Linked DNA regions of Neurospora crassa OR74A. The protein of the gene in region 2 purifies or fractionates together with the protein of the main gene of each other region. This does not show direct contact. Links are inferred from orthologs where the notes say so. Each region holds a gene or a part of one and is shown on either strand. Other genes may lie near its edges.

Evidence for each region.
Region 1: the proteins of NCU02661 (region 2) and set-2 purify together in Saccharomyces cerevisiae (affinity purification with mass spectrometry; 3 studies listed by BioGRID, with this or other methods). This does not show direct contact. The link is inferred for Neurospora crassa OR74A from reciprocal best matches to the Saccharomyces cerevisiae genes RPB7 and SET2.
Region 3: the proteins of NCU02661 (region 2) and NCU03838 purify together in Saccharomyces cerevisiae (affinity purification with mass spectrometry; 4 studies listed by BioGRID, with this or other methods). This does not show direct contact. The link is inferred for Neurospora crassa OR74A from reciprocal best matches to the Saccharomyces cerevisiae genes RPB7 and SPT4.
Region 4: the proteins of NCU02661 (region 2) and NCU06929 purify together in Saccharomyces cerevisiae (affinity purification with mass spectrometry; 8 studies listed by BioGRID, with this or other methods). This does not show direct contact. The link is inferred for Neurospora crassa OR74A from reciprocal best matches to the Saccharomyces cerevisiae genes RPB7 and SPT5.

What each region holds. Positions count from the first base shown.
Region 1 is NC_026503.1:3,235,166-3,239,272, forward strand, and holds the start of set-2 (histone-lysine N-methyltransferase), read left to right. Parts: upstream 1-1,307; 5' UTR 1,308-2,033; coding exon 2,034-2,445; intron 2,446-2,558; coding exon 2,559-4,107. UniProt on the Saccharomyces cerevisiae protein: Histone methyltransferase that trimethylates histone H3 'Lys-36' forming H3K36me3. Involved in transcription elongation as well as in transcription repression.
Region 2 is NC_026501.1:3,099,607-3,103,546, forward strand, and holds NCU02661 (DNA-directed RNA polymerase II polypeptide), read left to right. Parts: upstream 1-1,295; 5' UTR 1,296-1,868; coding exon 1,869-2,117; intron 2,118-2,185; coding exon 2,186-2,266; intron 2,267-2,344; coding exon 2,345-2,514; intron 2,515-2,579; coding exon 2,580-2,595; 3' UTR 2,596-3,440; downstream 3,441-3,940. Other genes in the region: NCU02660 (DUF962 domain-containing protein), read right to left, coding at 1-69, 141-224, 373-405. UniProt on the Saccharomyces cerevisiae protein: DNA-dependent RNA polymerase catalyzes the transcription of DNA into RNA using the four ribonucleoside triphosphates as substrates. Component of RNA polymerase II which synthesizes mRNA precursors and many functional non-coding RNAs.
Region 3 is NC_026505.1:2,571,786-2,574,908, forward strand, and holds NCU03838 (transcription elongation factor spt-4), read left to right. Parts: upstream 1-1,430; 5' UTR 1,431-1,773; coding exon 1,774-1,854; intron 1,855-1,931; coding exon 1,932-2,182; intron 2,183-2,272; coding exon 2,273-2,303; 3' UTR 2,304-2,623; downstream 2,624-3,123. Other genes in the region: NCU03837 (Snf1 kinase complex beta-subunit Gal83), read right to left, coding at 1-775; NCU03839 (APF1), read right to left, coding at 2,796-3,123.
Region 4 is NC_026507.1:793,417-797,545, reverse strand, and holds the start of NCU06929 (transcription elongation factor spt-5), read right to left. Parts: upstream 2,801-4,129; 5' UTR 2,496-2,800; coding exon 2,130-2,495; intron 1,960-2,129; coding exon 1-1,959. Other genes in the region: NCU06928 (hypothetical protein), read right to left, coding at 3,280-4,129. UniProt on the Saccharomyces cerevisiae protein: The SPT4-SPT5 complex mediates both activation and inhibition of transcription elongation, and plays a role in pre-mRNA processing.

The sequences.
Region 1 (4,107 bases), on a different chromosome or scaffold from region 2:
GCTACACCAAGGAACCATAGCAAAGTGCACGGCAGGGCAAGCGGACGGATTTGGCAACATTTCCAGCAATAGTACCATCAGGCTTTGCCGGGCCATCAGCTATATAGATACCAGCCTCATTCGGTTGCTGCTGGCTGGCTGTCCCATTACGTCGTGTTCGCTTTGCTGTCAATGTTGCGCCCTGTCTGCGCCCGGGTTGCATGTAGTGTTTATGCGTTTCGCCCTGTTCCATGTCTCCTTGTTTATTTATTCCTTTGTCTTTTTGGTCCGAGGCGACGTGCTACGTATGGGAGGTCCTTCCAGAAAGGAGGGAGAGCATGGTTCAACGACGTTGCACACAAAGACAAGCCCGGCGGGTCCCTGACATATGAGATCAGATACAGCATATATCGAAGCCAGAAACCGTCAGAGACACTACATCCGCCGCAGTACCTTTTCCTAAAGGCAATGTATAAAGCTTGAAAAGTAACCAGTGCTTTATCAAGAGCGCCACGCAATTGCAGCAGTTTCGCATTCCGATGGAAGAGGGGGCACGATATGTGGTTGTTGTTCCACAGATGGCGATGGCCGCACAGGTTGGGACGGAAACGCCAGTACAATGCAGACCCTTTGGGCTCATATAGGTTGTCGGACGTCATCGGTGTTGAGACGTGAAATGACATGGAGGGTTGGGTTTAGCATATCCGGAACCTAGATCCTAAGCTTCCCCATCCGGATATCCCCAGACTCCCGCTTTGCTCGAGGCATTCTCTCTCTCCATCACGAGTCCACAGTGGACGAGACACTTGACACCAAGGCCGCCCAATTCCGGACCGTTCGCAATCTTAATTGAATCTGAAGACAAGCCTTCACCCATGTCGAATGGCTGAAAAAATCGCTGCCCAAGGCCGATACTTCCAACGGCAATGTCCATTGATGTGATGAAGTGATGAACTTTTTGCTGGTCGAATGGGAATTCCATGCCATTGCGCCGCCAATTGATGGTGGGGTCAGCATAGCCTTGCCAGCTGCCGAATGCCAATTGGTTTTCAGCTGCCGGGCCGTCGTGGGCTGCCGAGGCTGCCAAAAGCGAAACGCAGAAGTCTGTAGTCTGCGGCAGGCAAGACCAATGAGCACCGGCACAGTGCCGGACAGACCAGCCAAGGTGGACAAGCTCACGGTGGCACGGCCTCAGCTGGATTGCCTGCCACAAGCCGACTCCAGTGGACTGGACTTTTGAATGGCGATCTCTTTGACCATGCGCCGATACCAATTGGCAGTAGCGCCAGACGCCGCGAACGAACAATTCCCATTGCTACGCTCGTCCCCAGACTCTCAGAATTCTGACTGCAACTGGCACAACGCCGAGAAACAGCGACTCCCTCTCTGGTTCGGACCTGCGCGTCGTCTGCCCCAAACAGCTCCCTCTTGCGTCCACCGTCGTCGCCGACCCATCGATTCTCTCTTTGCCCCGGGCCATTATCCAACAGTCAACAACTGAATAATTGCTTCAGCCCATCTGAAGCGTGGCAGTTCGTCGCCTCCAACCCTCTCAGCATCCGAGTCGCCAGCCAGCGGTCCAGTCGCAGTTGAGCATGCTGTCGCAAAGATCAAGGAGCCAAGACAAGAACACCGCAACGGCAACGGAAGAATAACGGCACCAGCGACCGGCATCCTTTTCCTTCCCTTCCTCTCCAACGAAAGCACCACGAAGCACCACACGCTTTGCTTTAGCCGACTACACAGGTACTCGGCCACATCAACTTGCATCATTCTGCCGCTGAGACGAGACGTCACCTTCTTTTCAGCCCGTCGCTCGCTCCACTCTCACCTTCTCATGACCTTTGCGCCTAATCCTACCGACTCCGCCGACCGTCTCCTTTTCCCTAGGTTGCCTCCTCGATCTGCACCTTCTTAGTTTTTTCCTCGACTGCGACCTTCGTACAGCAAACGTGCGCCAAGTGCCCTCGACACACAGACACACAACCGAACCATTACTCACAGTCCCTTATTCGGGTGCGCGCAGGGCGACCCCAGCTGCTGCTGCATCCACCATGGAGGACGGCCATCACTCACCGGATTCGACCAAGGAATCAAAGTCGGAGGAACACTCCAAGATGAACGGCTCCAAGCTAAAACGGGATGGCGCCAGCAACGCCGGCAATGCGGCCACGCCAAACGGCTCCCAGACCGGAATCTCGAGACCCCCAAGCATGTCGCCCGACGAGCACAAGGCTGCGAGTGAGAGCACAGCAACTCCCAGCGAAAATGTCCCGACACAAAAGCCTTCGCGAAAGGCGTCTCAGAAGAACATGAAGAGGGAACCGGTGCTCTTCAACCATCTCCCCGACGTGAGGGAAGAGGCATGCACACATTTCCAGGTCATTCATGACTGTCTCTATGGCTCAAAGAACATGGGTGCATCCGAGCACGATGCGTTGGATTGTGACTGTGCGGAAGAATGGCGTAAGTGAAAATATCTTCGGCGTCCCCTTGCCGCTAGCGTCATGTCCCCTCCGGCCCGCCCGCCCGCCGACACCCCCCCTTAACCGAATACTGACACCTGGCTCATCGTATAGGCGGTGATATGAACCATGCGTGCGGGGAAGATTCAGACTGTATTAATCGGGCCACGAAAATGGAGTGCGTTGACGGCGATTGCAACTGTGGTAGCGGATGCCAGAACCAGCGCTTTCAGCGAAAACAGTACGCCGACGTATCGGTCATCAAGACGGAAAAGAAGGGGTTCGGCCTCCGGGCAAACACGGATTTGCAAGTTAACGACTTCATTTTCGAGTACATTGGCGAGGTCATCAACGAGCCGACATTTCGCAGCCGCATGGTCAAATACGACAAGGAGGGCATCAAGCACTTCTATTTCATGTCACTAACCAAATCCGAGTTTGTTGATGCCACTAAGAAGGGCAACCTCGGCAGGTTCTGCAACCATTCGTGCGATCCTAATTGCTACGTCGACAAGTGGGTGGTTGGTGACAAGCTGCGCATGGGCATTTTTGCGGGGCGCGCAATCAAGGCTGGTGAGGAACTGGTGTTCAACTACAACGTGGACCGCTATGGCGCCGACCCGCAGCCTTGCTACTGCGGTGAACCAAACTGCACCGGTTTCATTGGCGGCAAAACGCAAACAGAGCGTGCAACCAAACTGCCGCCTGCCACCATCGAGGCGCTTGGTATCGAAGATGGAGACAGCTGGGACACGGCGGTGGCGGCCACCGTCAAGAAGCCCCGCAAGAAGAAGGCTACCGAGGACGATGAAGAGTACATCAACCGCTTCGAGCCTCGTGGCCTCGATGAAGAGGGTGTCACCAAGGTCATGGCCACGCTCATGCAGTGCAAGGAGAAATGGATTGCCGTCAAGCTGCTCGGCCGCCTTCAGAATGCCGACGATGACCATGTCCGGAACCGGGTTGTTAAGATGCACGGATACCAGATTTTGAAGACAACCCTCAACACCTTTAAGGAAGACACCAATGTCGTACTGCAGATTCTCGATATCCTGTACCAACTCCCCCGCATCACCAAGAACAAGATTACCGATTCCAACATCGAAGCCGCCGTCGAGCCCCTCACCCATTCCGACCATGAGGATGTCGCGTCGCAGTCCAAACGATTGCTTCAGGAATGGAGCAAATTGGAGACAGCCTATCGCATCCCGCGCAAGAAGCTCGACCCCTCCGCTCCCGTAACCACAAATTCGTTTGAGGATGACCGCCGCAACGTCAATCATGAGGAGCATCCCTCAAGACCTGTCAATCCGTTCGAGAACATGGTTGTGCCCACGGGTCCCCGCAGCAACATTCCCCAACGGAACATGAACTACTTCAACAACCAGAGACCACGCAAGCTTCCAACGAATCTTCCTGCAGGATGGTTTGTCACCACTGACAGCACAGGCAAATACTACTTTTACGACAAGAGCGGCCATACCCAGTGGCAGCGACCTACAACGCCTGCTGTCGACGTGCCCAAGCCCTCTGCCAAGGTGGAACAAAACCAAAAGGCTCTGCAGGATATCATCGACAGTTTGACCAAGGAGCCGACGCCCCGCCATTCTGCGAACCAAACCCCTAAATCTAACACACCCGTGCCAGACAATGGTAAGAAGGA
Region 2 (3,940 bases):
CAGGTTTGGCTCTAGGTACGGTACCTGAAGCCAGGAGGGGAGTGTGAAGAATGGTCCATAATTGGAGGCCTAGTTTGGAAGCATGAGGCGTGTGAGAACATGTCGCTAGGGACGAGGGAAAGTGGTTCAAGAATTCATACAATTTCAAAGGCTGAGAAGAGGATTAAAGGCACACAAATCATGTGGATGACTACATTAACGTGATTAGAGTGGTAAGCACCATACTGCAAGCAGGGAGAGGACAAGTTAGCAAAAGGCTCCAGTTCGTGAATTTCGAGCGAGGTGAAGTGGACGAAACAAGCAAGGGTGCCCGAGCAGGCCGACTTGGAGCATGTAGGTTAGAGCTTGGTAAACTCAGGCAACAAAGCTTACAAAGGTGAGTTGCTTTTCTAGGTTGAGGGACATGGTGAAAGTGATGCTTCGGATTTGCCCGGTATGATTAGGTTGGTGCTGTAGACAGCCTTGAGGTTCAGGGTGTGAATGGATGGCGAGATCTCGCTCAGTTCCGTGAGACCCGAGACAGGAGAGCGACAGTAGATGACAAGTCGAGTTGCGTCGAGGGCGACCAGTGAAGAGAGGAAATGAATCACTGCCACATGTGTATAAACGAGCAACAGGTGGAATTGGTAGTGTTCGAAAAGCAGAGCGTGCAGCTAATGAAGACCAGAGAGCGGCGGGATCTGGTGATGTGGGAGTCTGTCTGGTGTTCCACTCCGCATATCCATCTTCATATTCTCAGAGGGCTAAAAGCTACGTGTGGATGCCTCGGTTGTGGAGTCGCCATCAACAGGAACAAGGGAACCTGTTAAGGCTCCCGGCCGGCCCACCCCCGCAAACCCTCCAACTCGACGGCCACAGCGCTATCAAACGCATGCTGACAGGACCCGAACGTGCCCCGCCTCTGTCGGTGCTCCTACCGACGCGGTTACCTCTCGGTCAACGAACGTTAACGTCACAACCTAAAGTGGAAGGCCAACAGCTGTGGTGTAAGAAAGGTGATCAATCGTGAGTTACCCGTTTCAAGTCTTGTTTATGAGCGTTCTCATCTTTTGGCTTCTCGAACCACCATACTGTCTTTGCTGTGGCCATTCGAATCTTCCTTCTTAGACATCATTCGACAGTCTGTCTTTGTCACATGTTGAAACGGCATGAGCCATGGTACCTTTACTCGAGCTTACAGCTACATGAACGACTAAGGAACGCTGGGGGCTGGTAGAAGACACACTCCCTTAAGAAAAACCCGCTACATGATAGTACAGCAGATTATTTCACAAGCCTTACAACGAGCATCTTATGCCTGGTCTGGTTGAATGATATGATGGAATTGGGATATTTGGTGTTGAAGTTGTGGACAACACCGAATCCCGGCAGCGCCAAGACCGCTTCCGTGTGGTCAGTGCTGTTCCTTGCAGATTGTGCACGAGCCATGTGCTAAACGTCAAGGGACGAGTGACAGGCCAAGCTCGCAAGGCAAAGTCCCGAAACCGCGTCTGCGGCGGTCTCTGTGTTGGAGGCTACCACTTCCAGAACCTCCAAGCTTTTGTTCCATCATAGTCGATATCTAGTGTATTCCGTCAGCCTTGCTCTCCCGTCACGACGTCTCCCCACAAAACCAAGTATCACCTTCGACACGATCCCTACACCAACATTCTTGCTGTCGATTTTCGCATCTCGCCCTCACTGTCATTTTCGTCCCGACACGCGACTTCAATTGCCCAAGTCTCGACAGCACTGCCGCCGCCGTCGCACCCCTCGACACGACAGCCGCGCGAAGGCATCCCGAGGCGCATAACCTCTCCAGGGCATCGTCTTATCGACGCCCACTTTCAGCCGACGACACCCCGATCCCACAGTACTAACCCGCCACAATGTTTTTCCTCCATAACCTCGAGCGGCGGGTTACCCTGCATCCATCCTATTTCGGCAGGAACATGCACGAACTTGTCACGACCAAATTGGTCAAGGACGTGGAAGGGACGTGTGCCGGTGATTACTACATCATTGCCATCATGGATGCGTTCGACGTTAGCGAGGGCCGCATCCTCCCCGGAAACGGCCTGGCCGAGTTCACTGTGAAGTACCGTGCTGTGGTTTGGAGGCCGTTCAAAGGCGAAGTGGTTCGTTACAGCGAAGATTCTCGGTGGTGTTCTCTCCGTTCGGATGGTCTAACGAGGAGTCCCTACAGGTGGATGCTATTGTCTTTTCCATCAATCCTCACGGCTTCTTCTGCCAAGCTGGCCCGCTCTCCATCTTCGTTTCATCTCACGTACGATGACGCCTACGGTCTTTTTGGATACGCACATACGATGCCCTCGAACTTCGATCGCTGACAAGAGAACTATAGCTGATGCCCGAAGAAATCCACTTCGACCCCAACGCGACGCCTCCTCAGTTTACCAATAACGCTGATATGGTCATTGAGCCCGGTACGCACGTGCGCGTCAAGATTGGTGGCTTAAGAACGGAATTGGGTGAGATGTATGCCATTGGCAGCATCAACGGAGATTTCCTTGGGTGAGTTTCCACGTCTTAGCGGCGTGGTTGTGCTGTTTGTTATTAACCAGTTTCTTCCTTTCCAGGTGTCTGCAAGCATAAGGGACTTGCAAGATGCAAGAAGGTCATTCCCAAACGAAGGGTTTGGACTCGCTCAACTACTACGAGGTACTCGCTCAACAGAATCCTAGTGAAGCCACGAGTTAGAGTATACCCTGGGTTTACATCAACAGTTCTGGTCGGCTGATGAAGCCTCTGGCCCGGTCAAGAAGCAAGTCTTCTGGGCAATGCTGAAAGCCATCCGTATCGAGGGCCGTTTCAGGATCTCTGTGGCGGTTTATGAAGGATCATGTTTGCCCCTTAGCAGCGCGTGGGCGGCAATATGATCGAGCCCCTTGTTGTATTGCACGCGGGAGTGCGGCGGTAACACGCTCAAGGGCTTTCAAGGAGATGTCTCGTCCGAATGAGACTCAACGGGGTTGGTATTTTTGTCATGATTTGCTTGGGGTGCGTAAAACCTTTGTCTGTGGCGTTTTGAGGCATTATTGGGGCCACAAGCGGCGCCTGGAGTCTATTGACGGTTTTTTCTTTTTGAGGTATTTGCAGCATGCTTTCTGTGTTTGAGCGTGATTACTGGTATTTGGGTAACTGACATTATCGACGTATCTGCGACATGGAGGACATGTCGCTCTTAATACATGGGCACATGATGATGTCTTCAGAGTTTTGCGGGTACAATGCCTCAAGGTTCTCGGGTGCTTGGCTTAGACTGACCAACAAAAAACGACTGTCTGCGATACCACAGAGGGCATCTCGCGCGATTGTACTTAGAGGGAATAATCCTTGTTCAGCTAAGGTGCTCAGTTACCATGAGCAAAGACAGTATAAGAGACACCGCAGCACTCGCTTGGCTCATAAACTCGACTCCCCGGTCTATCTCCTGAACGTCTTGACTAGGAAGCATTCAGTCTCGGGCTATTATACCATGTGATGGTACCCAACGAGGTGGGATGTTGTGATGGCTCAGTTGCCGTGGGGGGAAACCTCCCATTTCAAGCTGACAACTTGGTGCGTGCCCATCTACGATCCTCCCGCAACATTTACAAGGACCTTGAAGCACCATATCTCAATGGTTCCATAATCTTCAACGAAGCGCGGGGGTTACGCAGCAGTGAAGACGTGGGGAAAAGAATAAAACGACAAGGGGGGAGGTTCATCCACTAAGTCGTCGAGTTGATACTATGCAGTAAACGTTTGGCCGGTGACCTGTCCATCGTGAGGCTACGATATCTCTTGACTTTGTGGAAGAATAGTATGGCCGAAATACGTCGGGCGAACTAGAGCAGAAGGGGGTAACAGTGGGGGCCAGATCGGTGTGAAGAAATCCCCAGAATGAAGTAAAGCGGAGGCGAGAAGTTGAATCGGGGTGTGGGCATCAAACACCAAA
Region 3 (3,123 bases), on a different chromosome or scaffold from region 2:
CGTAAACCTTCTCGCCGCCACGGAGCCATTCGAGCCTGGTGGGGACAGTCGGTCTAGTCTTGTCCACCCGTAGCTCCTCCGTGTCTTCTTCGTCCAGAGTTGAGCTGTTACTCAAGTTGGAAGAGCGTCTGGTGAGCGCGGTGAAAGTGTCGGCATCCTCGAGTGGGACCCCAATGTCGGTCGGGGCAATGATAGGCGATCCGGGTGTGTGGACCTCTTCCTCGATCGGCAGAGGTAGTCGCGGCGGCCTGGTCAGGTACGAGACATCTTGCAGACTGCTCAGCTGCATAGCCGCAGTCTCAAAGGCATCCGATCTCTCTGATAGCGGTGATCGCACCGGCGACCTAGGTGAGCACGACGAGGCGTGGCAGGGTGTGGGCACGGCTACAGGTTTCGCGGGCTCATGACTGTCTTCGGGTCTCAGCTGTCTTACTTCGACAGGTTTGGTGGGGGTGGCAGAGCTGGTAGGCACCGACGAGCCCGGCGAGCCGCTCTGAGAAGGTGGCATTCGCGAGTGCAGCGACTTGGGACGAGCGGTGGTTGAGGGCGGCTGGACGGCGGTGCCCTGGGCCTGGGTCAAGGAGGGCTCAGGAGGGGCAGCGACTCGCTGATTTGGGACCGGTATAGGGTGCTTGGTATCGCGCTTCACTGCTCTGGCAGAGTCATTTTGGATGGAAGCCAGCGACTGGTGCTGAGACTGCGATTGAGAGGAGGAGGAGGAGGATTGCGGATTCGGGGTCTTGGAGTCTCTGGAGGTGGAGGGGTTGTTCCCCATTTTCCCTAGCTCGATCGCTGGCGCTGATGACGGGATGGGGTCGCCGTGGTGGTCGGGTCGGTCGAACGGGGTCGTCACAGGTGGTTCGCTGCTACCGCGGTCTGCTGCTGTTACTGCTACACCTGTTCAACAATGCGTCCACCGGGTGCAATCAATTCATCTTCCACTCTCCGGGGTAATTGGCCGAGTTCGGATAGAAGGTGGTTTGACAGTCGAGGGGCTTTGCATGCTACGCCAGCGCTGGTCGTGGCTGTGGTTGTGTGGTTTTTGGGAATTCGAACGACGTTGTCAGGTGTCGTGTCGTAATAGAGTTGGAGCAGGCAATATCGCAGCAAACTGGAAGATGTGATGATTCGAGTCGTGTCGAATCGAGGATGCGCGAAACAAGTGGAAGAAGTGGAAGTCGAGAGAATGACGGGTAGGTAGAGAGCTCAGTTCAGTTATCAGAGTATCACTGCAGCAGTTGACTGTCCTCCCTTGGGCCAAAAAGCACAGCTGCCATCCACCTGGTTGCTCGATAAGAAGCGGGCGACCACTGGCAACTGAATGGAACTCGGATGCAACGCCCCGGACTCGGCGAACAGAGTTGAACTGTGGATGAGTGTGAGACGGCGCCCAGCCCAACTGCACGGCAGTGTCTCCACTGTCCACCTCCAGGCATCGGCCCCAGCTTCCACTTCGGCCCCCACCTTTCCCACATTCTCTCCTGCTTCTCTAGCTCCTGGACCGTGCGCCCCTTGCATGTCAACTCCTGGCCCGCTGTGAGACCTGGAGCTTGCGCTGGCGCGACGCGGCAGGCAAGAGAGGCGGCCGATCTTCTTTCCAGAGAACAACTTATCGATGTTCACATGCATTCCTCTAAAGAACATCACCCTCCTTCGTCAAGTGTCCTTTTCCAGTTATTCATTCACTCGCTCAGCTATTCGTAGACGAGTGAGTTATCGGTTTCCGCCCCCAAAGTTACCAGTAACATCGCCATCCCTACACATCTCCCAAAAATGTCGGAGAACTACGTTGCCCCCGGCCAGCAGCGCTACCTTCGTGCCTGCATGGTCTGCTCTATCGTCATGACCTATGCTGTAAGTCGAGCTGCCCTTCCTCGTTTCTAGTCACTCTATGACCGACAAGTTTCTGACCTTTTTTGTTTTTGTCATAGCGCTTCCGTGACGAAGGATGCCCCAACTGCGAAGACTTCCTCCATCTCCAGGGCTCGCCGGATCAGATCGACAGCTGCACGTCGCAAGTCTTTGAAGGAATCATCACCATTGCCAACCCGCAGAAGTCGTGGGTGGCGAAGTGGCAGAGGCTGGACGGTTATGTGAAGGGTGTATACGCGACCAAGGTGTCGGGCCAGTTGCCGGATGACGTGCGCACCACGTTGGAGGATGACGGCATTCAGTATATCCCGTAAGTTTCCTGCTTACACTCGTGTGGTCTGGCGAAGCAGGCTATGATCGTGGGGTTTTCGGGGCACAGCCAGAAACTAACTTGGAGCAGGCGCGATGGCAGTGCGACGGAAGCGGACTAGAAACTCGAAGCTGCGGTGCAAGAAAACAAGACGGAATAGGGCGGATAAGAAAGCAGGAAAGAGAACCGACAAGCAAGAAGGAAGAGGGACCGATAATAGATCGTTCACAGACAACCCAGGAGCGGAATGCGGAATGCCTGTTAAAGGGAAGGCAACAGGAGTTCAAGGCGTTAAGGCTGGTTTAAAGGGCGTGGTCTAGACAGCAGGATAGTGGCCATTTTTTGGGTTTTGCATGATCAACCCAGGGCTATAATTACACACTGCAGCGAAATACAACAATCATACAAATGAGTTTATCACTACCTAACCTATATGGAAGATTATTCATCCAGCTACGGATCCCTTTTACGAAAACCCCAATGCAATATGGTATCTTTTTTTTAAACATTTCCCATCACGCCGAAAACGCCCCTATAACATGTACCGAAATATTGCCAAACCCGGAGATAGCATAACCTTTGACCAGTTACCCACGTGAGACTCCACAGTATGTTAAAACTGGAAGCGTGGCTTCTTGTTGGGAAAGTTCCCACCCTTCTCCTCGCGAGCCCTCTTGCGCTCCAACTCCTCCTTCATTATCCTCTCGGCCTCGCTCATCTTCTTGGGCGGAGCAGCCATAACCTTCTTGGGAGCCCCAGCAAACGCATTCTTGAAGACGTTCTTCGGTTGGGGCTTCATGCCGAACTTCATAGATACCGGCTTCGTGGCGGGAGCAGCGGCAGCAGCAGGACCAGCAGGACCAGCAGTCGAGTCAACCGCGGGTTTGCTTTCCTCTGCCGTCGTCTTGGCAGTGGCCTCTTCGCCCTTTGAACTTGCTTCC
Region 4 (4,129 bases), on a different chromosome or scaffold from region 2:
CTTGTAACCACCGCGTCTAATAACCACGGTTTGGTTAATGGCCCGATCAGGTCCGAAGGTTCGCGGAGCTGGCATTTGCTTGCCGCTAGCAGTGGGGTTCCGCTTCAGGGCTGGGTTCATCGCACTGAGATCTGGGCCCGCAGTAGCAGTGTTGCGACCACCCTTGGCCGCGACCGTGGTGACGCTGTTAGCCCGAGTGACGAAAACACCAGCATTCTCGTTGGTGGTCGTGGTGTGAAGGAAAATGTAAGAGCGATGAATGTGAATGATCTTGCCCTGGCGTTGCTGGCCACCATATTCACGGACCACGTCGTCCAGCCTGATTTCGGAGCCGTTGCGGTCAGCAGCCACAGCGAACTTCCTCTTGGGGAGCTTGTTGGTGATTTGCGACGGCTGGACCTGTTTGGTATCGCCGTTCTGGTCTAGCACCACGACTGACTCGCGATCAACCTTAACGATGCAGCCGACAGTCGTGGCATCCAACTGCACAAGATCCAAGAGGGAGTACTGTCCAAGAGAGCCTTGGCCACCAATATCAGATGCCTCACGGAGGTCTTTGCTGAACACGGTGATCTCCGTGTTGGTCTGGTCTGTGAGGAGGGTGACTCTGTCGTCCACGATCTTGACAACCATACCAACTTCGTCACGGAACCGGCTGCCACCAATGACCTTGACGTGGTCACCAATCCTGAACCTCTTGCGCAGACCCTTGTTGGGGACGTCGATGGTCCGGCCAGCAAGATCACCCTCGGTAACCTGCAATGTGACGATGTCGCCTTGAACATTGGTGGCCTTGCCGATGACACCCTGCTGCTCGCCCTCATACACCTCGATAATATCACCAGGGACGTACGCAACACTCTTAGCGCTATCCTTGAGAGTAGCAGCAAGAGCCTTAAGATCGAGGTTCTCTGTACCGTCCTCGGCTCCACTGGCGAACTTGGTAACCTCCTCCAACGTAGGGTTGACATTCTTGACCTCGAGCTGCTGGATCTTGATGTCTTTCACCTGGAAACCGTTCTCGAAATCATCGCCGTTGTAGTTCCAGCTGTTGGTCTGCGGGTTCCCCTGGAGGTAACGGGGGTGTCTCTTGCGCGCCTCGGCTTCACTGAACAGACGCTGGGGAGGACGAGGGCCGGGCACACCGGGGCGCTTGCGCTTGCCATCGGCCTGGAAGACGGGGTCATCCCTGACACCGTAGTCGAGTCTGGGAATGAAACGGACTCTGGCCTCGAGGCCGTTTTCTGTAACGTCGATAACCTGAGCAAGATCACCGGCGTGCTTGGCCGGCTTCTTGAGACGAACCCAAGCGCCGGGCTCCAGGTTAGGCGTCTTGATGACACGCAGGAGGTCGGGCATGTCCTTGATCTCGACGAGGTGCATGTTGCTCCTGGGATAAACGTTGAGAATGCCATCGAGAGCCACGAGAATATCGTTCTGTCTTTGAGCCTCAACGTAGATGTATCCCTTCATGACCGAGTTGATACCACCACGTTCGAAAGCAGCCGTGATGGGGACCTCGTTCTTGGTGCCCATTCGCTCTTCGATACGACGCATAATCGAGAAGATGACCTCACGCTCCTTTCCTTCTTTACACCTGACGGCCCAAATGCTGGGGTCCTCGACACTGGGAAGAAGCAAGCGACGGGGCACAATGGCCATGTCTCCGTAACCTCTAGCCGGGGCGCGCTTGCCGTAGCGCTCACGCAGGATCTCTGCCTGTTTCTCAGCGTCGAGGCTGGCCTCCATCTCTCGGCGGCGGTCGAGCTCGCGGTGTCTTCTGTCATCGTTAAGGCGGCCGCTGTCGGCAATATCGTCAGGGTGGGCATTGTCGATGAAGTCCTCTATCTCTTCACCGTCGCCGACTTCGTCTTCTCCCTCGTCTTCGTCGTCAACTTCGGCTTCGATATCGAAGAAGGCAGCTCTACGGTCCTTGTTGCGACGCTTGCGACGATTGCCCTGCGGACAAAAGACAGCGGGTTAGCTAGGTCCCCGATGTGGCGACACGGGTAGGTTTGGCGGGTCATCTGCACCGGGACTTGTCTTTTGTTGTTTTTTTCTGGCAAGTGTGGATGGGATGGTGCTGCAGAATTGAAGTGTGGAGGGACATTATTGGGATCCGGACTTACACCATGAACATCATCCTCGTCTTCCTCATCTTCCTCTTCCTCTTCGTCCTCCTCTTCCTCCTCATCTATCTCCTCGTTCTCCTCTTCATCTTGCTCTTCATCCTCGTCATCGTCGTGGTGATCTCGACGCGATCGCTTGGCCGGGCGCGCGTCTTCCTCTTCGTCATGTTCCTCCTCTTCCTCTTCTTCGTCTGGTACCGGGCTACTAGCCTGCCTCACGGTCTTACCAGCGGGGCGGTGGTTGTGCGTGGTCTCTTCGTCGTTGTCGTTGTTCTCCTCGTCCGACATGTCGGCGGGGGCGGGGTTGAAGTTGTCATCGTCGGACTCGTCGTCGGCGCCGGCGAACTGCCAGCTGTTTGACGCCATTCTGAATAATTTATCTGAAAGAGAGCGGCGAGCGACAGGGGTGTCGTACAGTCGTACTACCGGCGGTCGCGCGTTGTGTCGAGGTGTGGGCGAGAGATGGAAAAGGAGAGAGGAAGGGAGAGATGGCCGTAGGTCGCGAGATGTGGGATTATATTTGTAGGTGAGAAAAGGAAGATTGGCTGGCCTCGAGCCGATGGATGATGTGGTGGGAAATGGACCGACTTTTGAGGCGTCGACTCGCTGTGAGTGTTCAGTTGCAGACTTGCAGCAGCAGCACCGCGGGTCGTGAGGCGGAAAGAGAGCTGCACGGCCCACAACTGGACAGTGAGTGGGTGGACTTGGAAGCACGGACGGTCACACCTCCACCCCCGGTTGGTTGAGGACACTGGACGGCAGGGGAGTGTGCTGCTGCTGCTGCCAAGCACTGGAATAAGCCGCTAGGCTATTCGCGGCCAAGGTCAGGTCTCCGGCCGGCAAGAGGTTCCTTTTGTTCAGGTTACATTCGACCAGGACCTTGCAGTCCAGGACGGGTACCTAGGTAGGTAGAGATACCTCATCGTCTATTCATTTGCGCACGTGGCTGAAGTACAAGTACTTTCAGCTGATAGAGTATGTAGAAGAGAGCGCTGCACCGTGATAACCTCCCTTTCGTTTGCCCTTGTCAACACCATTACTAGGCAACCTTTCATACCTAGTAAACACGGCCAAGTAAAAGTCAACTCCTGGCAGAGACAGACAGACAAAACTATCTACATGATACAGCGCTCCTCCAGGAAAAAAACAATCACCTGACCACCTCCTTATCCTTCCGGGTGACCGTCTGAATGAAGCTCTGATACTGCTCATCTTCCGCGGTCTCCATCATGATTCTAGCATTCCGCCTCGGTGGAAGCTCCCTAATCTCCGGCTTGGGTATCTGCTTGTTTGCCGTCGTCCACAACACTCCCCCCGTCCTTGCCGCCTTTGGCGCTTTCAGTTCCGCCGCCGCCGCTTCCTCCGCTCTTGATGGAGCATCAATCATCACCACCTCCTTGTCCTTGTCTTTCTCCTTCGCGTGTTGTCCCTTTCCAGACCCGGCCGCGCCGGCCCCGTCCTGCGCCTTATCTCCTTCTCCTTCGCCGTTCTCTGCCGTCTCGGTGGGTCTGGGCAGCCTCATGGCCAGTAGAACGTATTCGCTTCGTTGCATGGTATCCATGATATCGTCCATGTACCTCTTGACCTCTTCCTCCGGCGCCACTACTCTTGCCAAATTATCCAGCACATGTTTGCCACTGGGAGCCGCCGTAAACAACCTTATAGTTATGGGCTGGTAGTAATCAAGCTCCGGGTCCGCCATCGGATATACTGCTTTGCTTCCCCTCCTGATGATAAGGAATGACGCCACCACCTGCTGTTGCTGCTGTTGTTGTTGTTGCTGTCCTTGGGTACTGCTAGCGCTGCTACTGGGAATAGTCTGATAATCCAGAATGCTGAACTTCGGAAAGAGGTACCGATCACCGTTTCCTCCCGCAAACTCGAATACGATGGCCGAATAATCAGGTTGTTTGGGCGGCGGCGGGGGGCCCTTTGAACGAAGCGCCTGTTGGGCCGATGACTTGTCGGCTTTCTCTCCTTTCTCCTTTGTGGCCTTTTCG